Linked DNA regions of Macaca mulatta. The protein of the gene in region 4 interacts with the protein of the main gene of each other region in a pairwise test. Links are inferred from orthologs where the notes say so. Each region holds a gene or a part of one and is shown on either strand. Other genes may lie near its edges. The genes, in order: CYBC1, GPR25, NSG1, KASH5, GALNT2, GOSR2 and TRAF3IP3.

The links.
Region 1: the proteins of KASH5 (region 4) and CYBC1 interact in binary tests that used the Homo sapiens proteins (3 or more experiments, as listed by UniProt). The two-hybrid records come from large-scale screens. The link is inferred for Macaca mulatta from reciprocal best matches to the Homo sapiens genes KASH5 and CYBC1.
Region 2: the proteins of KASH5 (region 4) and GPR25 interact in binary tests that used the Homo sapiens proteins (3 or more experiments, as listed by UniProt). The two-hybrid records come from large-scale screens. The link is inferred for Macaca mulatta from reciprocal best matches to the Homo sapiens genes KASH5 and GPR25.
Region 3: the proteins of KASH5 (region 4) and NSG1 interact in binary tests that used the Homo sapiens proteins (3 or more experiments, as listed by UniProt). The two-hybrid records come from large-scale screens. The link is inferred for Macaca mulatta from reciprocal best matches to the Homo sapiens genes KASH5 and NSG1.
Region 5: the proteins of KASH5 (region 4) and GALNT2 interact in binary tests that used the Homo sapiens proteins (3 or more experiments, as listed by UniProt). The two-hybrid records come from large-scale screens. The link is inferred for Macaca mulatta from reciprocal best matches to the Homo sapiens genes KASH5 and GALNT2.
Region 6: the proteins of KASH5 (region 4) and GOSR2 interact in binary tests that used the Homo sapiens proteins (3 or more experiments, as listed by UniProt). The two-hybrid records come from large-scale screens. The link is inferred for Macaca mulatta from reciprocal best matches to the Homo sapiens genes KASH5 and GOSR2.
Region 7: the proteins of KASH5 (region 4) and TRAF3IP3 interact in binary tests that used the Homo sapiens proteins (3 or more experiments, as listed by UniProt). The two-hybrid records come from large-scale screens. The link is inferred for Macaca mulatta from reciprocal best matches to the Homo sapiens genes KASH5 and TRAF3IP3.

The regions. Positions count from the first base shown.
Region 1 is NC_133421.1:92,162,764-92,167,049, forward strand, and holds the start of CYBC1 (uncharacterized protein C17orf62 homolog), read right to left. Parts: upstream 2,994-4,286; 5' UTR 2,868-2,993; exon of another isoform or gene 2,648-2,867; intron 1,297-2,647; 5' UTR 1,259-1,296; coding exon 1,174-1,258; intron 178-1,173; coding exon 136-177; intron 1-135. UniProt on the Homo sapiens protein: Functions as a chaperone necessary for a stable expression of the CYBA and CYBB subunits of the cytochrome b-245 heterodimer. Controls the phagocyte respiratory burst and is essential for innate immunity.
Region 2 is NC_133406.1:58,519,856-58,524,207, reverse strand, and holds GPR25 (putative G-protein coupled receptor 25), read right to left. Parts: upstream 2,942-4,352; 5' UTR 1,986-2,941; coding exon 900-1,985; 3' UTR 218-899; downstream 1-217. UniProt on the Homo sapiens protein: Orphan receptor.
Region 3 is NC_133410.1:8,581,370-8,585,154, forward strand, and holds part of NSG1 (neuronal vesicle trafficking-associated protein 1), read right to left. Parts: intron 2,548-3,785; coding exon 2,437-2,547; intron 1-2,436.
Region 4 is NC_133424.1:61,841,037-61,844,821, reverse strand, and holds part of KASH5 (protein KASH5), read right to left. Parts: intron 2,430-3,785; coding exon 2,384-2,429; intron 348-2,383; coding exon 283-347; intron 206-282; coding exon 95-205; intron 39-94; exon of another isoform or gene 1-38. UniProt on the Homo sapiens protein: As a component of the LINC (LInker of Nucleoskeleton and Cytoskeleton) complex, involved in the connection between the nuclear lamina and the cytoskeleton.
Region 5 is NC_133406.1:18,767,426-18,771,893, reverse strand, and holds the end of GALNT2 (polypeptide N-acetylgalactosaminyltransferase 2 precursor), read left to right. Parts: intron 1-2,961; coding exon 2,962-3,117; 3' UTR 3,118-3,740; downstream 3,741-4,468. UniProt on the Homo sapiens protein: Catalyzes the initial reaction in O-linked oligosaccharide biosynthesis, the transfer of an N-acetyl-D-galactosamine residue to a serine or threonine residue on the protein receptor.
Region 6 is NC_133421.1:70,166,844-70,170,628, reverse strand, and holds part of GOSR2 (Golgi SNAP receptor complex member 2), read left to right. Parts: coding exon 1-58; intron 59-1,554; coding exon 1,555-1,663; intron 1,664-2,521; coding exon 2,522-2,654; intron 2,655-3,785. UniProt on the Homo sapiens protein: Involved in transport of proteins from the cis/medial-Golgi to the trans-Golgi network.
Region 7 is NC_133406.1:67,527,501-67,531,285, reverse strand, and holds part of TRAF3IP3 (TRAF3-interacting JNK-activating modulator), read right to left. Parts: intron 3,454-3,785; coding exon 3,382-3,453; intron 1,060-3,381; coding exon 919-1,059; intron 811-918; coding exon 673-810; intron 1-672. UniProt on the Homo sapiens protein: Adapter protein that plays essential roles in both innate and adaptive immunity. Plays a crucial role in the regulation of thymocyte development.

The DNA.
Region 1 (4,286 bases), on a different chromosome or scaffold from region 4:
CCAGCAATCAAGGGGCAGAGATGCCGATCTTAAAGGCTGCCCCATGGACAGTCACAAAGGACCGTTTTCCCTTCTTTTCTCTGTTTTCCAAACAGCTGAGACAGTCATGGGGGGGCGGGGCAGGGGGTGCTTTACCTCCACTGTAGTAGGCAGCAGCCAGGCCAATCGACAAGATTCCTGTGAAGAGAAAGGGACTGCCTGCCTATTGATCCCGGTAAGACCCCACCTCCTCCCCGGTGCAGCGGGACCTGGAGCCACAGCCCCTGATGAGCAGGCCCTTCCCACTATAGGAACAGCTGTGGTCAGGGGTTACAGACCACCAGGTTCAGAGTAGGGGAAACAGCCAGGAAGTTGGTTCGATAATGCAGTATAGCTGGACATAGTATCACACGCTTGTAATCCCAGCTACCTGGGAGGCCGAGGAAGGAGGATCGCTTGAGCCCAGGAGTTTGAGACCAGCCTGGGCAACCTAACGAGACCTCATCACTAAAGAAAACAAAAACAAAACACAGTATACACTATTCACAGTATTTACTGGACACATCCGCCATGTGAGGCTCCAGAACTGACACGGGTGTTACTCCAGCAGCCCGTGGTGAGGCCTGAAGACTGTGCACAAAGAATTACAACGCAGCGTGCCACGCAAAACACACAGGAGGCTGTGGCGTGTCACATAAAATGTGGGCCCCAGAGACACAGCTGCTGAGGTACAGCCAGCACCACTCTTCACACGGTGTCCCGTCAACACAAGTGCAGCTATCCCCAAGGGTACAGGACCCTACTGGTGAGTAGGGACGGAGGACAGGAGGCTAAGTGGACTGTGAGTCCTATGAGGAGGTCTGAGGATCAGGGAAGAGAAGAAATGGGAACCCACGATCACCCATCACACGGTTCAAAACAAGTACAAAGGAAAATACGGTGACCTCAGAAAAGCTCACAGAGTATTAAATACTCTGGGTGTTAGTGGTTAAAAGGGGACAAAATAGATGTGCATTATCTGTAAAACGAAGTACACAGGATAAAATTTGAATGGATACAAAGAAACAAAATAGCTGTTCGATTTCAGGGTAATAGAAAAAACAGAAAATACTGTGTTTCATTTTCATCCTTTTTGAAAGTCAGGCTTCCAATTCTGGGGTTCTGGGGAGGGACAGCCTCTGGGGAGAGCCTTACCAACCAGCAGGGACCAGGACCGGATGCCTGGAGCCCTCTTCAGATGGAGGCGGGAGCTGGTGCGGGTCTCCACCTGCAGGTACATCCCGAGAAGGCAGCACCAGTCTCTACAGGAGGAGGGGCCTGGGGACAGACAGAGGCAGCTGAGCCCTGCACACAGGCAGGTGCCCACGCCATCAGGCCCAGGCTGGAGGCCAAGAGCAGGTCCCCCAACTAAGTCACCTGCAGCCCCAGACACCATCAGCCAGTCTGATCTGTTCTCTGTGGTCGGGCACATCACTGGATCCCCCAGAGACCCCGTTTCCTGTGTAAGGAAGACCCTCTTCCGTTCACAGTGACACCGACTGCACGGGGGCTGTTTCCCGCTCAGACTCACGAGCTACAGCTGCATCACCACCTGCCCATCCTATCTGGAAACCTAATGTCTTGAGGAGGCCGCTAGCCCCCAGCAGCCTCTGAGCTTCTAGCACCTGTCAGCACCCCCTCTCCCCTGTCCTGGCCTCCACCAAGAAAGGGAACTGAAAGTCCCCTCATGGCTTCAGGCCGTACTGGCTCTTGTACTGGCATAGACCAACAGTCTCAGCTCTCTCTCTGCCTTCCTCCACCTGCTGAAAGTTCAGACTGCACAGTGGAGCGTCCTAAAATGGCCAGAACCGACGAGTCACCAAAGGGGCTAATCTTCCACACCGGGTTCTGCACGGACTGCAACAGCCCTGCCACTTCACAGTACGCTGCGAACACTGGCCCCAGGGACCCCGTTCTGGCAGTTTCTCAGGGCTTTCCCTGTGAAGTCAAATTTCTGACATTAAATAGGGGGTTCGGGCTGGGCACGGTGGCTCATGCCTGTAATCTCAGCACTTTGGGAGGCCGAGGCATGCGGATTGCTTGAGTCCAGGAGTTCGAGACCAGCCAGGACAACGTGGTGAAACTCCGTCTCCAGAGAAACTATTTAAAACTTAGCCCGGTGTGGTGGTGCACGCCTGTGGTCCTAGCTATTCAGGAGGCTGAGCTGGGAGGATCACCTGAGGCCAGGAGGTGGAGGCCGCAGTGAGCCGAGATCGTGCCACTGCACTCCAGCCAGGGTGACAGGGTGAGACCGTGTCTCAAAAAAATAAAAAATAGTGGGTTCAAATCACAAAACCAATCCTAGATGCTGGTATATGACTGGGCTCCCTCCCGGGCCTCAGTTACCGCATTGCTCCCCAAACCCCCGGCATTCCACACACAAATGCACACACACCCGGCATTCCACACACAAATGCACACACACCCGGCATTCCACACACAAATGCACACACACCCGGCATTCCACACAAATGCACACACACAAATGCACACACACCCGGCATTCCACACACAAATGCACACACACCCGGCATTCCACACACAAATGCACACACACCCGGCATTCCACACAAATGCACACACACAAGCACACGCCCGGTGGCAGAGCCGCCCGCGCCGCTGGTCGCACCGAGCGCTCGTTTCTTTGTCCGGGTCGAGGGCGCTCCCGCCGCCGTGGCCAACCTGCAGCGGAACAGCCGCGAGGCCGCCCGCGACGGGCAGGGCGGGACACGGAGCAGCCGACAAGCGGGTCCAGGACGCAAACCCCGTCCGGAGTGGGCCCCAGGGTGCCGGGACGCGCGGCACGGAGCGGGAAGGAAGTGCGGAGCCCACCCAGCCCAGCCGCCTACCGAGAGCACAGCGGTCCCCGCGCGGCAGCAGAGAGACGCGAACCGGCAGGGGCGGGGCCGCGCGGACTTCCGGGATTGGAGCGGAGCGGAGCCGACTTTCGGGGGCGGGACCTCGCGGACTTCCGGGGTTGGGGGCGGGGCCGCAAGCATTTCCTGGATGGGGCGGAGCCGAGCGGATTTCCGGGATCGCAGGCCGGGCTGCACGGACTTCCGGGACCCGGGCGGAGCCACAGGAGGAGTCGGGTGGTTCCAGCTAAAGGAACCAGTTTTTTTTTGTTTTGTTTTGTTTTGTTTTGTTTTTGGTTTTGGTTTTTTTTTAGTAGAGACGAGGTTTCACCGTGTTAGCCAGGATGGTCTCGAACTCCTGACCTCGTGATCCGCCCGTCTCGGCCTCCCAAAGTGCTGGGATTACAGGCTTGAGCCATCGCGCCCGGCCTAGGAACCGGTTTTCTTGGAAAAGAGAAACGTGTGGGGAAACGTATCCGAAAGCAAAGAACTTACCAAAGCCTATGAGCGTCTTCCCAACATAGAAGCGTAACTGAAGCGGTTCTCATTGCCAAAAAGGAAGATTTGAGCATGAATAAGAACAGTAATTCCAATGAATTGAAAATCCTGAGGTGCTCCAGGCTGTAATTCATAATAATGTATTTTTTAACTGTGTTCACTTTTGGAGGATGCTGGCAAGCTCTCCCCAGTTTGTGGCCTGGTTAATAAAAGGAAAGCATCAAGCATTTGTCCTGCCTTTATGAAATTTACAGCAGAGTAACCAAATACTGCATGAGAAGAATGTCTGATTATAGAAGTTTTCCCGCTAATAAATGAAGAAGAAACAGTAGGATTAACACATCACCTTATGAATTAACGGACCTGGGCAATGTCATCAATGACTGCTAATTAACATCGCAAAAAGGTCGGATACTGGAAGTACACAACACCATCCATGAAGTAGTCTTGCCAGAAAAAATTTAAGCTGAAAGTGAACAAGTTTCTAAAGTGAATTAGTGGAAATTTGGAAGACAAGACTGTACTAAAGGATTCTACAAGGATACAAGTCAGCAATTGCGGGTGTAAAACAAAAATAAAGTTCAAACCCTCAACCATCTGAATGGACCCCTCCTCTTGGCCAAGAGCATTCCAAAGTTATCCTGAAAAACTAGTTAAGGCAGTGATGGGAAGGAAGAGACAGACATACCTTACTCACTCCTCCCTTTTGGAATTCAAGCAGACAGCTGACCAGCATTCACATTAAAACAGATCTTGAGCCTGCCGGGCGGGCGCGGTGGCTCACGCCTGTAATCCCAGCACTTTGGGAGGCCAAGGCGGGCGGATCACAAGGTCAGGAGAACGACACCATCCTGGCTAACACAGTAAAACCCCATCTCTACTAAAAAAAAAAACCCCCAAAATTAGCTGGGCATG
Region 2 (4,352 bases), on a different chromosome or scaffold from region 4:
AAAAATAATAAGAATAAATGATTTGCTTCCTCCTATGGGATTACTGCACCTGCAGAGTGCAGCCAGCATTCAGCTCCCAGACACCACCCCAAATCCTCATCATCCTGAGATCAACCTCAACTACTGTGTTGAGTTTTGTCTCACCCAGTGTGCGACCCGCCTCCTGATACGCATTTCACTCCCACTGCGCAAGCAAAGACGACTGTGAAGACAGGGCTAGCAGGAGTGTCTGTTTATTGAGAAAGATGAATTCACAGAGAAGATTTTGAGGTTCCTGGCTGAGTGGTGGAGACCTTAAGAAACGCCTGGTGAGCGATTTCAGGACCTTCTGTTGAGAGGGAAAGACCAGAACAACTTCCAGGTGAGTCCTACCGCTTCGTAGGGGGAGAAGTGTCACCAGATTCAACACCAGGGTTTTGTGAGTGAGAAGGGCAGAGGGCCTGACTTGGAGAAGGTATTTCTCTGAAAGCAAAAGCTATTGTGGGAGACGGGAGAAAGCACAGCCAGAAACCAGAATGGCATTTAGGGGTCTGGGTTCGATTTCTGGTCAGTGCTCTTCCCAATGAGGCAGAGAAGGAAATCCCCTTCCCTTCTGTCTTCTTGGTGAATCTGCGGGTCTCCGAGTTGCTGTCTGCTCCATCTCATAGCACTTATCTTGTACCCTGCAGGCTGACAGGGAACAGCTAGTCTCAGGAGCCTGGTTTAGGGGAGTTCAATTGCTCTGAGGTTCCGGGGAAGCTGATGGAGGAGACCCTGGGAGTCCAGGCAGCGCGCGAGGCAATGCGATGCCGGCCGGAGCAGCTTGCTGCCGCCAGAACAGGCGCATCTGGGTCCCCTCCCGGGACTTCTCCCCTCCTCTCGGTGCTCCGCTGTCGCCCACCTCCAGCGGCCCGGGGCAGCTACCAGGGGGCCGAGGCAGTGTTCGCGGCCTGGGCCCGGCAACGGAACACGGAACTGTCGTCCCTGGAGAGCGAGGAGGCCGAGCTGATCCTTCGCGCCAGGCGGCCGGTGCGCCCGCAGGCCGCGTCCAGCGCCCGGGCTCGGAATGAGCGGTCCAGCAGGAGGTAGATGAGCGGGTTGGCGCAGCTGTTGACGAAGGCCAGGCAGGTGGCGATGGTGAGGCCCCAGCGCAGCGCCAGCAGCAGGGGGCACGGCAGCGGCAGGGCCCCCAGACGCGCCAGGTGGAAGACGGCCCGCAGGGCGCTGAAGGGCAGCCAGGAGCCCACGAACGTGCTCTCGATGGCGAAGATGATGCGCAGCGAGTTCCTCCGGACCCGACCCACGTGCGGCGGCCGGCGCAGGCGGCGCGAGATGCGGCAGTAGCAGAAGAGGGTGACGACCAGGGGCAACACGAAGGTCAGCAGCAGCAGCAGCAAGCTGAGGCCCTGGAAGGTGTGGGAGGGCTCCTCCCCGCACTGGCTGCCGTGGCCCCCAGGCAGGGGTTGCAGCCCCCGGTAGACCAGGGAGGGCAGGCCAGCCAGCAGCGCCACGGCCCAGACGCCGCAGCACGAGGCCAGCGCGCAGCGCGGGGTGCGCAAGGGCCGCGCCTCGAGCAGCTTCACCACGGCCAGGTAGCGGTCCATGCTCATGCCAGCCAGCAGCAGTGCGCCCGCGCAGCGCGTGCCCGCCAGCGCGAAGCTGCTGAGCTTGCAGAGGCCCTCGCCGAACGGCCAGCGGCCGTCTAGCGCCGCCGCCGCGGCCCACAGCGGCAGTGTGAGCACTAAGCCCAGGTCAGCGGCCGCCAAGTGCAGCACGAAGGTGTCCACTAGCCGCCGTGGGCCGCGCCGCCTGGCCAGCAGCCACACCACGAAGGCGTTGCCCAGCAGGCCCATGGCGAAGGCCGCCAGGTAGAGTGCAGGTATGTAGACATAGCCGTAGGGCAGGTCCCCGGCCGGACACAGCTCCAGCTCCTCCAGGTCGTCCAATCCCGAGTAGTCCCAGGCCCCTGACCCCGGGCTGGGACTCCAGGGCTCTGTGGGGTCCATGGCCTGGCCACGAGGCCTGCGCTGGGTGCAGCCCTGGGCTCAGGCGGCAGCAGCTCTGAGCAGGAGGGGGTTTGCTCTTCATGCCCGTGTCGTGCACCTCCCTTCCTGCCACCCCAGCTCGAGCAAATGGGTGGGCAGGAAAGACAGGAGGGAGGAGGGGATGGGGTGGGAGGGGCAGGCTCCTGTGGGAGAGATGGTGGCCTCCGATTTGGGGCTGACCCGAGGGGTAAGGGCTGGGATAGGCAAAAGGGGCTTCACAACTAAGTCTTGGGAGGAAAAGTCCTCAGGGCTGGGAGACCTGCCCCGCCTCCCAGTAGGAGCGTGGCCCATTCCTCTATTAGTTGCTCAGTTTCTTTGTTCGTGAAATCGGGATACTTGCCCCACTGCCTCAGGGTCGTGTTGCAAGAGGTGGTGGGTGCCAGAGAGCCCTAATCTCTTCTCAGCCTCCACCTCACCCCTTCCCACCTGCACCCACCGGCTGCTGTTTTCTCTGTTTTAGAGGGGAGAAGACAGGGGATTTTATGAGTATGGGGCCTAAGGCACGCCCCCCCCCCCCAAATCCACCTGTTCCCTAGGAAAGAGTCCACTGCCGGGACACAGCAGATCTGGGTGGGTCGGGGAGCCCGCCCTGGGCACTCAAACCGTTGTTAGCATCCTGAAATGTGGGGTTTGTGTCTTCACCCTGTGAGTGGCTTCTCTGACCCAAACAGGTCCTCATGAAGCGGAGTGGAAGGGTTTTAAGGCATCTAGGAAGGGGTGTAGTCAGATCATCCTGCTGGACAGGGGCCAAGCCTGGGATTCACATCTGCCTCTTCCCTGTCTTCTCCCAGCCTAAAAAAGCTATCTATTAAGCCAGACGCAGATGTAAGCTCAGTTCAAAAGATGACACCTAATGAAACACCAGATTAGTTGTCCTAAATTATGAGTCAGGAGCTTGGAGGCAGCAAGATCCTTTGTGAAATGAGAAACTGAGAGTAAGGGGAGGATACCTAAAGAAGAGGGGGAATGAAGTCTGACCCTGAGTGGGCGGTGGGCCCTTAGGAGGAGAGGATGGGGGAGGGAATGCTTGCTCTTCCTCCTGAAGGAGGCATGCAGCCAATTACATCTGAATTCTTCTTAGCAGATATCCCTTCCACAAGATATTGTGGTGGAACTGATGTCACAGTGCCCTCTGAGTCTGTCCCCAGTGTCCCCAGGAATGAGTGGCTGATGTGCCGGGCAACCTGGTGTGGAAAATTTGAGGTGGATTATCAATTTTGTTCGATTCAGACTTGTTAACAATGAACTCCTCCATGAAGCAGGCACTGTTTCAGGCACTGCGAGAGATGCCATTCTTGGCCTTAGCAGTTTATTGCATAGGCAGGAGAGATGGTTACATAAGCAGAATGTGCAATGGCCGACATGCCGGGAGTCCAAATTGTAGTAAATGTTAAAAGCCAAGCCCTCTTAGGGTTTAGTGGAGGGGGAGTGATTATTTTTGACGGGAAAGCTAAATCAGAAAAGGCCTTCTAGGAGATGACACTTGAGATCAGTCCCAGGAATGAGCTGAAAGTCAAATAAGAGCAGCAGAAAAGAGAAGAAAGGGTCAGACTCGGAGGAGGGAGTGAAGGGAACAAGTATACTGAAATGAGTAGGAATGTGGGCTTTTCAGGGGACAAGCAGTCTCCCAGAGCCTAGGGTAGGAAAGTGGGGACAGGAGATGAAGCAGGAGGAATCATGAAGGGATTTGGATTTCAATCTATAGGTCATGGGGAGTCAGGAGGCATTAATCTGTGTTTTGAAAAGATCACTGGCAGAACTGTGGAGAAGGGAGAGACTCAAGCCAGGGAGACCCCACCGTAGGTTGTAATTATTTGTGTCTGAAATAGATCATGAGCAGTGGGAACAGAAAGGAGAGGATGTATTCAGGAGGTAATTGTAGCATCATAGGTCTCACAAAGAAGAGTCAAAGATAAGCCTGGGGTTTCTCCGCTTAGGGACCATATGGACACTGTCCCCTTAACTGCCAAGAACAGTGAGGCGCATGTGCGTATGTGTTCAGTTTGATGTTGGTTTGAGGTAGTCATGAAATAATTTATCATCTAAATCAGGATGTTTCTGAGAGTGAAAGGGGCACTATGAGAATTAACCTGGGCCATAAACCAGGACTATTTTGGGCAAACTGGGACATAAGGTCACCCTCACTTGGGGTCCCTCTAGCACACGGAGATCCCCAGGAAGGATTTGGAAAATGGTCTTAGAGGCCGGGCGCAGTGGCTCACATCTGTAATCCCAGCAATTTGGGAGGCCGAGGCGGGGAGATCACTTGTGGTCAGGAGATCGAGACCAGCCTGGCCATCATGGTGAAACCCCGTCTCTACTAAAACT
Region 3 (3,785 bases), on a different chromosome or scaffold from region 4:
TGGGTCAACGATGGACCACGTGCCACGGTGGCCCCATAAGACAATTGCAGAGCTGTAAACTCCCATCATCTGGTGACCTCGCAGCCACTGTATGGACAGAACACAACACATGCCTCACGTTTGCGGAGGTGCTGGTGTAAACACACCCCCTGCACTGTCAGCTGTATAAACGTCTTGCACATAAAATTACATACAGAACATAATACTTGACAGTGATAATAAATGCCTATGTTACTCGTTTATGTTACCATACTATACTTTTTAATCAGTATTTTAGAGTGTATGCCTAGTTATTAAAACAAAAGTTTAAAAGAGCCTCAGGGAGCTCCTCCAAGAGGGATTCTGGAAGAAGGCAATGTTATGTTTTGTTTTGTTTTGTTTTGTTTTTAGACGTTGTCTCACTGTGTCGCCCAGGCTGGAGTGCAGTGGCATGATCTCGGCTCACTGCAACCTCAGTCTCCTGGGTTCAAGCAATTCTCCTGCCTCAGCCTCCCGAGTAGGTGGGATTATAGGCGCCCGCCACCACGCCTGGCTAATTTTTGTATTTTTAGTAGAGGGGGTTTCACCATGTTGGCCAGGCTGGTCTTGAACTCCTGACCTCAGGTGATGCTCCCACCTCGGCCTCCCAAAGTGCTGGGATTACAGGCGTGAGCCACCACACCTGTCCTGGCATTGTTATCCTAGGAGATGACAGCCCTGCGCCTGTCACTGCTCCTGAAGACCTTCCAGTGGGACAAGGTGTGGAGGCGGAAGGCGGTGATACTGTTGATCCTGACCTTGTGCAGGCCTGGCTAATGTGTGTGTCTGTGTCCTTAGTTTTTAACAAAAATGTGTTGAAATTAAAAAAAAAAAAATTGAAAAATTTTTAATAGAAAAAGCACATGAAGAAAAATAATATACAGTTGTGCAACGTGTTTGAGCTTTAAGCTAAGTGTCATTACAAAAGAGTCAAAAACTTAAAAGTTTATGGGCCGGGCATCGTGGCTCACGCTTGTAATCCTAGCACTTTGGGAGGCCGAGGTGGGCGGATCACCTCAGGTCAAGAGTTCGAGACCAGCCTGGCCAACATGGTGAAACCCCGTCTCTACTAAAAATACAAAAATCAGCCAGGTGGTGGCGGGCGCCTGTAATCCCAGCTACTCGGGAGACTGAGGCAGGAGAATCACTTGAACCCAGGAGGCAGATGTTGCAGTGAGCCAAGACCGTGCCATTGCACTCCAGCCTGGGCGACAGAGTAAGACTCCGTCACATTAAAAAAAAAAAAGTTTATGAAGTAAAAAGGTTACAGTGAGCTCAGATTAATTTATTACTGAAGAAAGAATATGTTATGAATCGAGTGTAGCTCAAGTGTCCAGCGCTCACTCCGTCTACAGGAGTGCACAGTCACCCCTGGGCCTTCACATTCGCTCACCACCCACTCCCTCACACACCCACCCAGACCAGCTTCCAGTCCTGCACACTGCATTCATGATGGAACTGCCCTATTCAGGTGGACGATTTATCTTTTATACCCTGTTTTTACTGGACCTCTTCTATGTTTAGATACACAAATACCATTGTGTGACAACTGCCTCCATTGTTCAGTACAGTAACATGCTGTCCAGGTTTGTAGTCTAGGAGAAGTCGGCCATACCCTACAGCCCAGGTATGTAGCAGGCTGGGCTGTGTGGGTGTGTACAGTACACTCTGTGAGGTTGGCACAATGATAGAATTGCCTAACAATGCATTTCTCAGGAATTATTCCTGTCACTAAGTGATGCATGGCCAGGCCTCCTCCTGGCTCCGTCTTCTCTTTCCACCCTTATCTCCTCTCCCTTTTCTTTAATCCTGTTGCCTTGCATGCCACTTGTGGGCTTTCTGGAATGACCATTATACATGGAAAGCAAGCATTTCCATGCCTGTAGAGAGCCCAGCACCAGTGTGGCTCCCACGGTGGGACAGGTAGAAGAGGGACATGGGTCAAGAGGGTAGGTGTGCCCCCCAGCCCTGCTCCCCAGTCCCTGCATGGCCTTGGGCAAGGCCTTCCTCTCTCTGGGACTTGGCTTCCCCCAGTATGTCCTCTCTCTTTCATGTGGCGGACATGGTCCCCTCTCCCTCCCTCCCCCAGAGCAATCCGCTGGGACCCGGTAGGTATCACCCTGGGCATTTCCCTGGCTGGGCCCACTTTTGAGGAGGGCCCTTCCCTGGACTGCTGAGGTCAGCTCCCAGGGGCCGAGTCCAGGAGTTTCCTTCCTGTGGGTCTCATGTGTCCCCTGCCTACCTGCCCTGCTCTCCAGTTGAGCCTTCCGCAGGGACACTCCTGACACTGGCCCTCTGCTGCTCTAAGGCCTGTGCCTGGGCCAGCTGGGGGAGACGGCAGGAGCAGCTTTGAGTTCAAGGGAGAGAACAGGGGGTGCAAAGACATCCCAAGGCCTCTGGGGGAAAATGGAGCTTTACCTTGAGGACGAAGCCATCGGGGCAGGCGCGATCATATTTGTACACCTTGTAGACGACCAGGAAGACGACGCAGGTGAGGAAGGCCAGGGCGAAGAGGACCAGCACAGAGACCTGTGGGCAGAGGCGGGACCGTCAGGGGTGGTCGGAAGGCAGCAGGACAGACACACACACCCCGGCACACGCAGGCCCCCCAATACACAGCATGTGCACAGACTGCCTCTGGAAGAACCTGGGGAGGGCAGCTGAGGACAAGAGATTAGGAGCATCACTTTTCACTGGGCAATTTTTTGTAACAGTTTAATTTTTCACCATATTAATAAGTGACCTTCATTTTAAATTAGTTATTTTTAGTACCCAAGGTCCTGCAGAGAGCTCAGGGTACCGATATGAGGAAGCCCCACTGTTGCCCAGGCAGCTCTCGGGCCACTGAGACACATGTCTAAGAAGCGGGGTTGGCTGCCCACTGCCCCAACACGGCCATGGTGCATCAGCTACCAGCCAAGCATCCGCTCAGCAAACGTGTCCTGAGCCCTGGGCTCAGTGCTGGGACGCAGTTTCACACGGACACCAGCCTGCTTTTGCGTGGGGCCATCCTGACAGAACCTCGGCAGCCCCATCAGCCTTTGCCCTTGGTGGTTTCCCGTGTGGTTAGTTAGTGTCCTCAAGGACAGGGATTCGGTTTTCTTCACCATGGTGTGCTGAGCACTAGACAGCCCCAGCACACAGTAGGTGTTCAGCTGGGGTTTACAGATGAACTCATGACAGCTGCAAGACAGCTGGCTTGGAGGGGGACAGCCTGCCCCAGCTGGAGGGCATGGGGCATGGGTCACTAGATGACACTGGACCTGGACCTTGAAGGCACCCGGCTGCCAGGGAGCCTGGCAGAGATAAGAGTATGTCTCAAAGCCAAAACGGGCCGGGTGTGGTGACTCAGGCCTGTAATCCCAGCACTTTGGGATGGCGAGGTGGGTGGATCACCTGAGGTCAGGAACTCGACACCAGCCTGGCCAATGTGGTGAAACCCCAGCTCTACTAAAAACAAAAATTAGCCGGGCGTGTTGGTGGGCACCTGTAATCCCAGCTACTCGGGAAGCTGAGGCAGGAGAATCGCTTGAACCCGGGAGGCAGAGGCTGCAGTGAGCTGAGATCGCACCACTGGACTCTAGCCTAGGTGACAGAGCGAGACTCCACCTCAAAATAAATCAATAAAAAGCTAAAACAGTGTGCAGATGGCCCCCCTCCCGCCCAGAGGGGCAGAGAGAGCGATGAGGCTCCCTGGCTGGGTGGGAGGATGCCGGGTACCAGCACATGGCAGGGCCTCCGTAATCTTAGTCTGAACATGCACAGAG
Region 4 (3,785 bases):
GAGGTGGGAGAGCGTTTAGGGGAGGGTCCGGGCAGCCCCTGCTCTTCCCAAGGTCAGACCACCTTCTTCCTTCTGGAGATGCCTGGGGGCACACCTGAGCCGCTGTGGGGGCAGGCAGAGCTGGCCCCAGGGCCTCCTCCTCACTGGGACCAGCTCTTTCATCACAGGCACCAAGGCTTGCTGGAGTTCCTGCTGCGCAGGCCTGCTGGGGGAAAGGAGGGAATCACTACTGGGTTTTTCCTTGTCCCCAGTTTCCCTCCCGGACCCCGTGGGTCCTATTACCTCTCTGGAGGGCTTTCTGGGATGTCTCCAGGGCGAGGGTCTCCTAGAGGCATAGGGAGATCAGCCTGGGAGGACAAAAGAGATTCATTTGAAGCACTGGGTTCTGGACTGAGAGGTCCTCAGGTCAGCCCACTGGACATAAGCGACCACACAGAAGGTGGTGGAGCTCAGGAGTTAAGTGAGTGCACTTCTCTGAGATGCGCTGCCAGGTTGGGTTCCCAGTTCTGCCAGCCTCTGGCTGAGGGTCCTTGGCATGTCACCACACCTCTCCGTGCCTCTCTTTCCGCATCTGCTGGCCAGGGATGTCCCCACCTCATAGGGTTAACATGGTGACTAAATGAGTAAATGTGGGGGGAAAAAAAGGTGGGGGCAGTAGCTTGGACAGCGCCTGGTACCTAGTGAGTGCTCCGTGTCTGTGTGAGCTATTCAATATCATCACCTCCATTTTCCACTGGATTCTGGAAGTATGTAAGCTCTCCGAGGGCAGAGACCACATCTTCCACAGGTGCCCACCCCTGTGCTGGCCTCATGCAGAATCCTGTCTTCCTGCCTATGCCAGAATCAGCAGACGCTTTACTAATTAAAAACACGCCATTATAGGCCAGGCGCGGTGGCTCACGCCTGTAATCCCAGCACCTTGGGAGGCTGAGGCGGGCGGATCACAAGGTCAGGATATGGAGACCATCCTGGCCAACATGGCAAAACCACGTTTCTACTAAAAATACAAAAATTAGCTGGGTGTAGTGGCACGTGCCTGTAATCCGAGCTACTCAGGAGGCTGAGGCATGAGAATCGCTTGAACCCAGGAGGCTGAGGTTGCAGTGAGCTGAGATCACGCCCCTGCACTTCAGCCTGGCGACAGAACGAGACTCCGTCTCAAAAACAAAAACAAAACAAAAACACCATGCCATTATAAATGGCATAATTACAAATGTATTGTTCTCATTGTTCATGGTTGCTATACTGAAATATGATTGATTTTTTATTTTGACCTTTCACCCAGCAACTATGCTAAATTCACTGATTAATTCCAACACCTCATCTGAAGATTCAAAGATCAAAGCCCCAGCTGTCCCTCCAGGGTTAGGCCCCACTCACTGTGCCGCCTCATCCCCCATGTCTCCCTGGAAGGGCCTCACCTCTATGGGTCTCTGGCCTTCCTACCCCCACACCTTTTCGACTCAGATGAGGATGATGAATGACAATAATAATGGCAGTAAATAAAAACAGAACACCGATCACAATCAATATGTTCACCTTTACCACCTGCTGTGCCAGGCAGGGACCCAGGCCCTTTATGACGTGGTCCTTAACCCTCCTCCCCACCCTAGGAGCTAGGAAGAGATTATCCCCGTGTGAGCTGTGAGGAAGCTGAGGTGGAGCCCAGTCTCTGCAAGGGAGTGTGGTATGTCGAGAGGAGGTGGGCTTCGGGGCCAGGGCGCTGGGAGCTAAGCGTCATGGAGGCAGCCATCTTGGCCAGTTTGGACCCTGGAGAGCCCCAAGGGCCCTGACAGTGCCTGACACACAACAGGCAGACTCCAGCCCAGCTCCTGCCTTCCTCAGCTCAGAACCGAGGGCTCCTCACCTCTCCTTACCGAGTTTCTTTCCCTGTCCTTGCCTGAGAACAGAAATCCTCACCTCCACCGGGCACTGGGCTCTGAGGAGCAGAGGAGCTGGCCTGTGTGGCTGCAGGCAGGGGGGCTGTGGGCACTGTGCCCCCAGGGAGTTCTGAGGCTGGCTGGGGAGGGCCAGCCCAACCTCTCCCGAGTGTGGGCACATGTGCGTGTGCATTTATGCAATCCGGGGGTGCAGCCATGTCTACAAGGCCTGCGGTGTGGTGGCTGCAGCCCTGTGTGTGTGGCTGGGGGGCTCCCCTGGGAGCAGCCTGGCCGCCCACCAGCCTCCAGGCCTCCCCCTACCTCGCCATAGCTCTCATTAGCTACAGCAAGGGCCTTGTTATCTCTTGGCCAAATGATTTTTCTCTCTGCTCCTGAGGAGTTGGGGTGTGAGGTTGGGGCTTGGGAAGAGTTGAAATGAACGACTCAGCCTCTGCGGGCTTGGAGTGGATGGGGACTGGGGAGGGGTGCTGCGGACTGCCTACCGTGACCTGGCTCTCTGCATCCTCCTCTTCCTCTCTTCCGGTCAACCTGAGGGCCAACAAAGTCACTGCTGGCATCGTCCTCTCCTCCCTGGTTCCCTTTGCCTACTATGGGCTGGGAGGGAAGCCTTGGAGCAGGGTCTTAGCACAGGCCCGGGAGCATGGACAGGCCTGGGGGAGGCCAGGCAGCATGGACGGGCCTGGGGGAGGCCAGGCAGCACAGATGGGCCTGGGGGAGGCCAGGCAGCATGGACGGGCCCGGGGGGTGTCCTGCATATGTGTTTTTCACATGAATTTTCAAAAAATGATCCAAAGGGTCTGTGCCCACTAAAAGAATAAGGGGGCCTCTTCATCTCAGAGTGGTTTTCTCAGCCACTACTTCCCCAGCGGATCCCCCAGCTGGGAACTGAGGCTTCCAGCTTTCTCACCCTCCAAAGTACCAGAGATTCAGGCCTCTGTAAGGCCCCAGAGCACGTGTTGAAACGCCCTTCCTGTCTAGTGGGTTGAGCCATTTTTCAATGGCTGTCACTGGGTACTGTCTGAGGACTGGGACTCCAACTCAGACCTCCCAGCCCACAGAACCCAACTGCTGGAGCTCTTCCCCATGCCCAGTCCTCTCAGGTGTGCAAGCCCCTCTTCCAGGAGGACTGAGGGGTCAGCATGCCACTCATTCACTCATTCACTCATTCACTCACATCTTCCAAGGAGCAGACCCTGGGCCTATGGGCTGGGAGATGAGACCTGGCCCTGCCCTCAGCGAGTCTCAGAGTCTTGGTCTAGGAGGACATCTGGCTCCCAACCCTGCCTCGGGGGAAGGCTCCTAGGGAGGCCCCTCCTAGGGTCATAGCCCTCTGAGTCCCTGAAATGCTGCTTTGGGGACTCAGGCCTCAAGCTGCCCAGCCTGAATGCCCCTTAGAGACCCAGCCATCCACACCACCAGCCACTGCCTTCATTGGGGAGCAGAGATTCAGCCCTGCAGTTGCCACTACCACCAGCTTCAGACCCAAAACCCTCAGAGATACCCTCAGGAATACAGCTGTGCTCCCACGCAATAAGGGATCCAGGCTTTTAGGCCCCAGTCAGACATACACTGTCTGATCCCCTGAAACTTCTACTTGGGACCCAACCCCTCTCAAGGTCCAAGTCCTCACCACTGGCTACCTTTAGGGGCCATTGTATTCACCAGCTTCCTCACTCCCAGCTTTCCAACCTTCGGATCAAACAGCCCCTGCCCTCTGGAAACTCGGAAACTCGCATGGCACTTGCCTCCCCGACTTCCACTACTGCTCAGCCCCTTCTCCCCTCCTTTCTCTGGTGACGCAAAGGGAGGTCATAGCTCCAGAGCTCCCATCCCGCCCAATCTCAGCTCTTCCCAGACAAGTCCAATTAGAGGCCTTGGCAGGCA
Region 5 (4,468 bases), on a different chromosome or scaffold from region 4:
GCATGGGGTAACAGTGTTAAGAACAGGAATGCAAGCACAAAAGGTCGTCCTAGCATGCCCATACTTGGAATGCCTGCCCCTGTTCTTACAGTTGGTCCTTAGAGATAGATGGGATGTAGGGAAACTGAGGCTCGGAGCCTACTGGAGCCAAGTGTGTGTATATATACGTATATATATACACGTATATATTTCAACCCCAAGACTCAGGCTAACCCTAGTCCAACCCTAATTTCACAGCACGGAAAGCTGAGGCTCAGAAAGTCATTGCCTCCAACCTAGAGTCATCTGGGAAGACCAGGCCAGGACCGAGTCCCCTGTTCAGACCCCAGTTGTCAGGGAGATGCTTGCAGAGGGCCCTCTTTCACCTGTCTGTCTCCAAACCCCTGCGCCAGCTCTGGGTGCTCCTCCTTCCCTGCTCTGTGGAGTCCCAGATTCCTGGCAGCGGGAGCCCCTCTGTAGGGTTCTGGTCATAATCCACATCTCTAAATGTCCATCTGTATTGATGACTTGATACCAAAATGTGTAAGGGAGTGCCTGTCAAACAAGAGAAGGCTACCATTGCTTGGACCCAAACCACCTAGAAACTGCCTCCCTCACTAGCCCCTCAAGAGGAAGCTCCTCGAGGGCAAGGCTGGCATCTGCTGAGCCAAGTACTGGGTGAGTCTCAAACACATTCCCCTGGGATGTAACGGAGCAGAGCTGTCTGGATGTAACGGATTGATAAAGTGATGACTTTATGACACCTTTTTAAAAAACAAATGGTTACTTCAATATTGCTTAATTTCAAGAACTGACAGGTGTTTCTGCTTCAGTCCCAGTTTTGGGGAACCATAACTGACATGCCTTAGGACCTTCGTGAAGCATGAGAAGACCTATCAATAAGAAGTTTTTCTGGATGTATGGCGTGTCTAAATGGGGATCTGTTAGGTTTTCAACCCCAAGACTCAGGCTATTATAGAGGATGTGGGGGCCATTTCAGTAGGGTCTGGCTGCCTTGAAAATCTGTGCTGCACCCCCGCCACCACAGTCCCATCAGACAGACATCAGAGCCGACAAGGCCACCTGTGTGAGACGGAGCTGGGGTTTGGTTATTGTTTTTCTACGGTTCTTCATTTAGCTGATGCTTTGACACATGACAGGCAGTCCCTCCAGTGGCCAGAATCAGATTCCGTTCATTCCCAATTCTTTGTTGAGAAGATTCCTGGCCGCTCAGAGTGACAGGGCAGCCTCAATACACACTTTACATGATAATGGAGAGAAACAGCATGAGGGGTGATTGACAGAAACGAGGGAGCGGGAAATGAAAGAGGAAATGATGGGCACTTAGCAAAAGCCTCCCCTGGCTCCTCTGATTGCACTGTCTTTCCCTGTTGGCAAGAACTCCAGGTGAGCAGGTGGATGGAAATAAGGCAGGCAGGGTCCAGGCGACAACATCCTTGTGGTGTTTCACGCAGGTCGGGTCCCCAGCACTGGGCTCCTCTGCTTGCACCGGCTCTTCCCTGCCTCACTCACTGGCCCCTCGAGAGGAAGCTCCTTACAAATTTTATCTTGGAGCTGAACTGGCTTTGCAGTTGGAATATTTGGTTTCCAGGCACGTCCATGTTTTCATATTATGTGCATATTTGCAGAGTCAAAAAGAAAAGGGTGGCAAGAGTGAGAAAATTTAATTCTGCAATGTCAAAAGGATTTGCAAAAAATACTTAGGTGAAGGAGCTTTAGTGCACACAGTATAAAAAATTAATTAGAACCACAGACTTCATTATTTGAAACGAGCTTTGAGGAGGAAAAAAATGGTTACTTTTTGTTTTTTAAGAACAAACATTAGAGATTTTTAAATGGGGATTTTTCCTTTCTTTTCTTTTTTAAGAGACAGGATCTCGCTCTGTTGCTTGAGACTGGAGTGCAGGGGTGGGTATGACCGTAGCTCACTGCAGCCTCAAACTCCTGTGCTCAAGCGATCCTCCCACCTCAGCCTGCAAGGAGCTAGGACAACAGGCAGGCACCACCATGCCCTGCTAATTTTTTAAAAAAATGTTTGTAAAGATGAATTCTTGCTATGTTGCCCGGGCTGGTCTTGAACTCCTGACCTCATGCTATCTTCCTGCCTCAGCCTCCCTCCCAAAGTGCTGGGATTACTGGTGTGAGCTGCCCGCACTCAGGCTGAAAGGGGTATATATGTTACTTGCTATAAACAGGGCTCCTCAGATTTCCTTCAGGCTGGGTTGTGTGCTTTGATTTCTGGCTTGGTTGGTGGGTAACGGGTGCGTGGGTTGAGTTTGGTTGTTTGCTTGATTTGAGTGTTAGTAAAGAGGCATCGTACCCTATACTTTACAAGCGGCATGTTCAGAACTCAGCAAACACTGGTCCCCGCCATACAGAGCACCAGGGGCCTCAAGGGTAGCAGAGACAAGTTTCTCATATCCACCAAGGAGCTTGCACACCACATATACAAACCAGTAGAGAACAGACCGCATAGAAATAGGCTTCTCAACCCTATGTTCTGTTCACACAAGCATCTCTCTTCCTGACATTTGGCCTGACATGGTTCCTCTGGCTGCCCCGAGCAGAAAGCCCTAAGTGGGAGCATGGAGGTGCCCAGACTAAGGCCTCCAGGCAGGGCTGCTTCCCAGCAGCCAAGGGAGGAGCTGGCTCTGCTTTGTGTGGCTCTCTTCTTGGGGTGAACCATCACTGGATCAAGCTTTCTTATGAAGGCATGCAAATTCCCCTACATCAAATCCTTGTGTTAATGACGAAGGGGTGGGTGCCCAGAGTGCTGGGGCTCAGAGGAGGGGACACCCACAGAAAGGTTGGGGCAAGAGAGGTTCTGAGTTTTGATCCAAGGCAGAGAATACGTTTCCTTCCTGGGCCCCCAGCAGCAGCACAAGGCCCTGAATTCACACGGATCTGTTTGTACTCCTTTGCTTGGGGCCACACTCTAAGGCATTCTCCTGTGTCTTGCAGAAATGGGAACAGATCGAAGGCAACTCCAAGCTGAGGCACGTGGGCAGCAACCTGTGCCTGGACAGTCGCACGGCCAAGAGCGGGGGCCTGAGCGTGGAGGTGTGCGGCCCAGCCCTCTCGCAGCAGTGGAAGTTCTCGCTCAACCTGCAGCAGTAGGAGGGCCCGGGAGGCCCTGCCGTCCTGTCTCCTGCACCATCGGGTGGAGTCTGGTGATCACATTATTGATTATGTTTCTTAAACTTTCCGCGAAACTAATATACCTCAGTATTCCATCATGGTCTGAAAGTCGAACTTCGGCAAGGCACGGACGACTGTGCAGACACAACAGCGGCAAGAAGCGAGAACTGCCCTCCCCCTCCTCTTGGTGCAGCCCAGCTGGGCCCCCTTCCCCAGGCCGGAGCGCCCCTCTTCCTTCCAGCTTTCACTTCCACCGGCTCCGCAACTGAGTGACATCCAGCAACAGCCGACCGGGGAGTGGTAGAAGCGGCAACTGAACAGACGCATGCGAGCTGAGGGCAGGGCGGGAGGAGGGGGCACACACGCCCAGGGGAGCGAGGAGAACTCTTGAAATCTCCATTTTCGATCCCATCGAAATCACGTATGGTTTCCACAAAGCCGAGTCGTGTCACGTGGCAGGTTTACGTCGATAGCCCCTCTCTCTGCTCCTCCGTTCCCGAGTGTCTTCCTGGTCCAGACTCCCCTCCACCTGATGTACTTGCTATCTCTGAGGATGAAGTTTTCTAAGGTGGGACGCTAAATATAAAGCTATATAGAGAAAGAATGTACGGTCAGTTCCCTATGGTTTCTGTAGGAAGAATGTACGGTGAGTTCCCTATGGTTTCTGTAGGTCATCATCATCTTGTAAATTCCCCACAAAGCCGTTCGCAGCTTCCGGGAGAAGGGGCCAGAGCCCGGTGGGGCCAGGTTCTCACGGAGGGAGGAAGTGGCCTTTGTCCCCTGGAGCCCGATCAGCCAGTTGGTGCTACTGCTGTGGCCAGCTGTGGGGGCTTCCTCCAGACCACCGGCCTCGGCCCCGGCATCCCTGTTGGGCGTCAGTCAGCCTGAGAGTCACTACTGTGCGTCAGAATCCACTTTGTGTGCTGTGTGTATCTGTGAACCTGGAGGGGTTACTTATTTTGACAGATATCACTTTGGGTCTTTTTACATTAAATTTCTTTTCTCTAAGGAATATAAACAACACCCCATAGCTCCCAATGTGAGCCAGCGATACCGCTGCCCCCTGGCGACAGGGCAGACCAATGATGCCAGGCAGCTGTCACACGCTAGCATTGGCCTCATTGTGATCTCAGCCCTGCATGCAGGGCCTTCAGAATTAATGGCCAGCAGTGTCAGGGATGAGTCTCTCAGCCTGGGCACAGGCCTGGCTCACAGTCCTACACACCTGCGGGCCTGGGGAGCTCCAGCCAGGCAGCGAGTCCTGCCCCGCCCGCAGCCCTCTCCCACACCCCACCTGGCCCACGTGACTGCTTCAGGGGGCTTTGGGGAA
Region 6 (3,785 bases), on a different chromosome or scaffold from region 4:
CATGAGATCCAGTCTCGCATGGGACGCCTGGAGACGGCAGACAAGCAGTCTGTGCAGAGTGAGTAATTAACTGTGGAGACCAGAGTCCTTTCTCTGATGACAGGGTGCTAATGGGCTGGGTTTCCTGACTGCACTCTGCCTCGGGGGCTTAATGATTCAGCGTGGAATGAGTTTTGTTGTTAGGGTGGACAGAAAAACCCTATGGCAAAATCACTGATTTCCCTGAGTGTGCCCTTTGGAATCCCACAAGTCTTATCCCCCATTACCCCTCCACTCAACCTGACATGGCCCTATGGGAATGGAAGCGCTTGCCTCCATCTGTCTTAATCTAATTACCTAGTCCTTAGAGGAATGTACTCCATAAAAATTCAGAGATGTTTAACTGGAATTGGCCATTTCTTCTGAGCTGAGAACTGTGGCTTTTAAGGAGGATTATTCAGAAACGAACAGCAATATTAATTAGTTTAGTTCCCACAGCATGGTTTCTTTTGAGAAGCATGCTGGATTTTTGGGTTTTTTTTCGTGTTTTTTTTTTTTTTCTATTCTAAGGAAAGATCTTTTTTCTGAGTCAGTCATATGGACACCACCTGCGGGGACTGCCTACCCACCCCACTGCTGGGCTCCCTCCGGACCCATTCCTCCTGTTCTCTCACGTCTCCTTTCACAGCTTCAAAAGCAGCTCTGTTCTTGGTTCTGTGCCCCACCTTGTTCTAATCTCAGCTGTCTTTGTTTACTGTGGGCGCAAAGGCCTAGGAAGGGGCAGTGTCACTGCTGTCACTTCTTTATGGGGCAAGAAGCAGTCTGGATGCTTTCTTTTGTGCACAGTTTAGCTTTTTTGTTCATTGGACTTTGTTTGCCTTCTCAGCAATCTTGTTACATGATTAGAAATGGAAAGAGGTCATTTTGACTGTCTTATCGAAAGAGATAAGGAAAATGACCGTATTTATCATATCTCTTTACCTCTGTGGATTCTTTCCTGGGCCTTTCCTATTGATATTTGGTCTATTTTGGGGACGTCAACATTGCTCAGCCCACCCATTCTTACAGAAAGCCTTAAGGGAGCTCTCCTCTGTATGTTTCACATACTAATCTTCCCCTTCCTTTATGCTTTTTTTTTTTTAATTAAAAAAAAAAAAAAACTCATTACTATAGGGAATTCAACTGGCAGTCTTTTTACTAGGTATTTATAATCCACGTCTGAGAAATCCAAAGGAAAAGAGACCTATATCAGAAAATTTAGCTTAAAGTATTTATTTGTACAACCTTTGCATGTTTATTTTCTAAAGGTAGGAAATTTATTTCTACAGATTTACCTTCAGCTTTTTAAAAAAATTGGCATTGTTGTGTCATTAACAACTATATACATGTACTTTTTTCAAAACAACATTTACGGCATAATTTGAATTTTTTCTGTTATTCATTAGTGTATACATTTTTCTCCTTTTGAAATATGTAGTTCTAGTTTATTGGATATTGAAAAAAAATCTGTAATTTATTCTAATTTAAGTTCACTATCTCTTTTCCAGCAATTATTCTTTTTTCTTTTTTGTACAGTAGTAGAAAACGAAATCCAAGCAAGCATAGACCAGATATTCAGCCGTCTAGAACGTCTGGAGATTTTGTCCAGCAAGGAGCCCCCTAACAAAAGGCAAAATGCCAAACTGTAAGTGCTGACCTCTGACATGGCACTGCTACTCCAGGCCCGGCAAGATAGGCTTTTCTCCTGGCGGGGGGGAGGCGATAGAATATTCTGAAAACCCACGTACATGTTGAAAAACTACGACTACGTAAAGAAAAAGCCCCCCCAAAGGGCACAGTTGTATCTGAGTAATGCTCCTCAAAATAAATAGCCTGTGAGGTTTGTGACTCAGAAACCTTGTGACCCCTTTGGTGTCATTTTGAAATTTTGCCTCCAGTTCTGTTTTTCTGACTAGACCCATGGCCACCTGAAGCCTAATGTTGCCATGGAGTTTTGTTCTGCTCTTTGGTTCCTGCTGGGTTCTTCTTGGGTTGAAATGAAAAATCACTTGAATCAGTCCACCCATAATGAAATGCTGATCTAATGTTTGATACTCCACCATGAAATTAAAATGAAACCACCTTTGCCACTCCACCCCCAGTGCCTGTTTCCAAAAGTTTTATGATACTTTGTGGATGCTTTACCTCAAAGATGCCCTTGGGCTTCTTCCAGGAGAGCGATATAATCCATAGAAGGTCAAGAAGAGGTCAGCGAGCCTGCTTCCTGTCCCCTGTTCCCTGTCATGCATCCAGAATCAGAGAGCAACAGATTCTGAAGTAAAGCTGCCAGAAGCTTGTGTGCTACCATCTCGCTTTAACCACACGTTACTTCTTTACTTTCAACATCATTGATCAAAATCAGATCTTGTGGTGGTGGGGTATAGCATGGGGTGGTGTAGGGAGAAGTAAGGAAATGCTGTCTTTCCTGAATACAAAGCCTGGCCCCCTGAGACTCTGCTGCCCTGAGTTCCTGGAATTTAATCTCTCTCTCCATCAATTCCAGTCGGGTCGACCAGTTAAAGTATGATGTCCAGCACCTGCAGACTGCGCTCAGAAACTTCCAGCATCGGCGCCATGCAAGGGAGCAGCAGGAGAGACAGCGAGAAGAGCTTCTGTCTCGAACCTTCACCACTAACGTAAGCCAGGCCTGCGGTGAGGGTCGGCCTGCATTTGGCAGATTGTGGGGGCTGGAGTTCAGATCTCTGAGCGCCATCTGTTTTGGGGGTATCTGAAGAAGACTGGTGATGAGGAAACCAACTGGAAATGACGGGAACTTTGTGCATTGCCACAGAGACTAGACCTCGACAGAGAATCCCTTTTTCTAAGACAAAAACCTGAAGAGGAAGCAGTTAAATTGAAGGGGAATAGGCAGAGGTGAAAATTACCTGGTTGGACTGGTCTGAGACAGAAAGGTGGAAGTTCACATAGTGGAAACGTTTTTCTGATCAGATAGAGACAGATGATTAGAACTTAGGCCATTTGTAGAGAAGGCAGTATTTCAAAGCTGCCTGCGGGCAGTTGCCGTTGTGCCGAGTATGTGTGTGGTTCCAGTGTCAGGTGCATTAAAATGTTTTTGCCCCTAGTCTGAGCAGCAATTTGGAGGAATTTGTTAACGGATGTGTAGGGTTAGACGGACTGCTTGCCTGAGTCTGTCTGAAAATGTGTTGGTGTGCACGTTTGATTTCTCAGAACCCATTGTCCCTGCCCTTTAGTCTTAACCAGATCATTTCCTGCACATGGCTGTAGAACAGACTGGCCTTTTCTGTGTCCTGCATAATATATTCCACTAAGTGAAGTGTGCTTTGGCTTTTTGTATGTTGTTTTTTACAGAGGATTATTTTCTAAAGAGATGTTAGCTTTCTAAGCCTGTTGTTAAAATTCACATCATTTCCCGCTTTGTAGATGTTTAACCCTCAATGCTGCATCCTTGCTTTGCAGTAAATTTCCCCAAGTGTTTCAGGCTCTGCCAACGTTGTTTTGCTTCCCCAGACTAAGCAGTCAAGTCACAGTGTTTAACAGTTCAAAAATTTAATGAACTATAAGACACACTAAAAGATGGTTGGATTTTAGATCGTTAATAATGTAGTATTCAGGCCTTTTTTAGACCAGGGATGATCGCTTAGGATTATTTTGTTTTCTGCTAGCCTGGTGTGATGCTGTGCATACAGTCAGTTCTTAATAAACATTGGCTTGCCAGATGAAACTTCTTCCTGGTCATTCTACCATCTGGAGCTATAATACATTTTTCTGAGAGGTAATGGCCCATC
Region 7 (3,785 bases), on a different chromosome or scaffold from region 4:
ACTCCAAACCAAGTAAATAAATCTATGCAAAATGATAGCTAATATTTACTGAGTGCTTTTATGTGCCAGGCATTGTGCTAAGTACTTTACATGGATCATCTTACTTAATACTCAGAACAACCTTATGATGTAAGTACTATTATCCTCATTTTACAGATGGGGAAACCGAGTCTTAGGACAGATTGAAGATGATGGAACCCTTGAGGATGCCAGGAGTCTAATTGTAATTGCTAAATGTAATTGCTTAAAAAACACATTGGCAAAAAGTGTTAGTTAGTACTCACCTGTAAATAAATTAGTGACATTTTTTCTGTGCCAACAGTGGGCAATTCTGAACTGGATGCTTTTTTGGGATGGAGTTTGGAGAGTGGGTTGGGATATGACATTAGTAGGCTGATATATATTCCAGCCAGTTCTTTTCATTTGGATGGTGATGGTGTCATTCCAATGAACGCTTAGTTCATTTGCATGAGCAGTGCAGACATCCTTGCTAAACTCGAAATTAAATTTCAGAGCCAAAACAGTGAATTTGGTACAAAGTAGGTGGTGACTGAGGAACTGAAAGCCAGATGCTGTCAGCTGCCTTTGGAGTCCCTAATCCAGAAGAGCTTCTTCATCACCACCCCTCCTCCCCATACCCTGTCTTCCCTCCCCACCCCCAGTGCCTGGTACCTGCAGTTTGGACTGAAGCACGTTGAGTTGGCTCTCCAGCTCTCTGTGCTGGGACCCAAGGGTCCTCCAGTCCTCCTTCAGAGCCTCGTACTGGCTCCTCCACTCTTCACACTTCTGCTCTGCCAGGGCCAGGGATCGCTGAGGGGGGTCAGAGAGGAGAGGTTCCAGGGAGCTGTGCAGCTGGCTCCCTTGTTCCCCAAGCTGCCTGGAGTCCCCAACCCCAAGGTCTGTGTGGCATCCCCATACCTGTGTGCTCTGTAGTTGCTGCTCTGCGTTCATTTTCTCCTCCAGCACTTTCTGCAGTGACTCCTTGGCCTTCTGCTCATAGCTGTTTTTCTGGTCTTCCATCTCCAGTAGTACTTTTTTCATTCCCCAAGGGGAGTATTTCTGTAAATTTGATGCAATTCAACAAATACACATTGAACTTCTGTGTGCCAAATCCTGAACTGGGATACAGAAATGAAAAGAAGTTGGTTCTTCCCCCAGGCAGAGATACCAGTAATCTAGTGAGCCTTTTCTTTTAGGGTAGAGCTAGCAGGGAGAGTCCCTCAGGCAATGAGAGATGAGTGGGGGGGTATAATAAACAGTGCCCTAGGCTTGCTGGGCATTATATCTGAGGCCTTCCACAAGCTCTTGAAATCCAACATGTCTAAACAGGACTCATGTTTCTAAACAAGTTCTTTTTTCTTGGGGTTCCTATCTCAGTGACCAGAATCATCATCCATCTAGTCTTTTCCAAACCCTAAACCAGGGAGTCAATCTTCATTTTCTCTCTCATTTCCTTCCAGTAATCAGTTGGTCATTGAACCTTGACAGTTTCCTTCATAGTTCATATCTGTCTCCTCTCTATCCCTACTGCTGCTTCCTTAGTTCAGGCTCTAGTAGTAGTGTTATGTGGATTAATGCAACAGCTTCCCTTTCTTCAAATCTTGCCTCCCTTCAGTCCCTTTTCAGTCCCGCATTTAGAAGGTTCTTTCTAAAATGCAAATCTGATCTTGCCACTTCCTGCATAAATTCTCCATGGATTCTCAGCATCCTAAGAATCACATCCAAACTCCTTGTCATGGCTCCACTTACATGCCTAGACTTTCATCCCATGCTACTTCCACCTAAGCTGAGATGTTTGCAGATCCCCTAGCACTCTGTTTTTTTGGCTTCTGCCTTTACCCATATAGCTTCTTCTGCCTAGAACTGGTTAACTTCTACTCACACTCAAGATTCAGTCCAGTATCATCAGTTCTGATAAATTGACCAACTGCCCCCATCCCACAATGTCTTATAGATTAGGCAGCTTTTCTTAGTGTTCATAGTGTTCACATAGTGTACCCTGCATGCCTCTATTATTCTACTCTGTTGACTCATCTGTTTTTCCTACTGGATTGTAAACTCCTTCAGGGAGGGAGCATACTGCTGCTGCTTTAAAAAAAAATCACTGTAGCTTCTCTACAATGCCTAATGAACTTAATGGTTTAAAATTAATACATTCGCGTTATAAAATTCCTCCTGGCTGCAGGATTAAGGAGACACAAGTGCAGCTTTGCACATTCACTGGGGGTCTTGCCTTCTCCCTTTCTTTCATCTTTGTGTCCTGTGATTTCGGAGAAGGCAGGCAGATTTTACTGTCAATTCTGGATTACCCACTGTGTAAGCAGTAGACCAGATGACAAAAATTTAGGGATCAATATGAAATCATTTCCATTTAGCTTTGGAATTGTCTGAAATTTTGGATTTAAATTTGAGTGGGTCTTATAGTTTTGGAACTTTCATTAAAAACTAGATTCAGGAATTAACCTGGTTGAGGTCATATGTAGGGGATGTCCCAGTTATTGGACATCCAATGACCATCCATGCTGGGCACTGGTTATGTGTTATTCCTTATTGAAAATGAATAGATTGGCGTTCTGGATTATATATTGGTCTCTTGTGAACTTGGTTGGCATTATTTAGTCCTGTCAAAGCAAGTCATACTGAATAAATGAAAGTTGTGGACCAAGAAACTTATAGACTCCATAAACTCTCTTCCCCTGTGAGACGCCATCTATGTGGCCAACTGTCTTCTCTCTCTAACTCCAGATGGGAGAAGTCTGCCTGTTCCGCCCCATTCTCTTATTTGACATCTTCCCACCTGTCAGGTATCCATCACTTCTCAAATGTGAAAGCTGATTTCTTTCTATCTCTTGTAAACCAAGATTAGGCCAATCAGGAGATTACTAATGCTGGAAAATGGTGTTACAGAAGAGCCAAGTAAAAGAGCTTTTACATTCTTCTAGGGGTTGCTAGAAAAAACAAAAAAAGTTGCCCATGGAATGAAAATCATTTTCTAAGACTTCGTTATAACATCTAACTCATCTGTTCAAAGATTAGGATGTGTAAAGATCTGTCTGGGTGTTGTGAATCTTTACCAAGGGCCTTTCCCTACAGTTTCAGGTATTCTCAAGGTTCCCCTGGAGCTGACAAAGTGGTTAGTGCTGGGATTCCTCCAGGGTGCAAAGAGAAGGATACTGGGAGAAAGGGAGAGGAAGAAGGATGGAGACAGTGATCTAGTGAATTAGAGACTAAAGTGAAAATGGCCAAGCCAGAACTGGGTAAGTAGGAATGGGTGTGTTATTCTCTATCTGGTGGCATTTCTCAAAAGTAAGATTGAGGTTCAAGCATTCTTCACATTTAATTCTAGATTCCCGAGACGGAAATATCCTTCAGAATGCTTACCTGGGTACAGGTGTACAGCTGGTTTTCTAAGGATCTCAGTTTCCCCTTCAGTTTGTCTTCATTAAGTTGTCCCTGGAGCAAATGGGATGAGTTAATGAGTGTGGGCCAAAATCTAGTCTGCAAAGAGTTTGACTCTATATTCCTATCCTACTGCCCAGCACATGGTTGATGCTCAAACAGTGAACTCTTTCAGGAGGCAGGCAGGAGCAAATATGACAAAGGATGCTGAATAGAAGAGGATCTTCTCTTCTTTCTCTAGACTAGGACAAGAAAGAATCAGACTGGCCTCAAGTCCTCTTTTTACCTCCATTTTTATCAAATGGCTCAGGGTAGCATAGCAGGGGAGCCCTGGAAGGAAAGCTTCTAAGCTACCCTTTCGCTCACTACCTCTCTCCCCTCTCTAG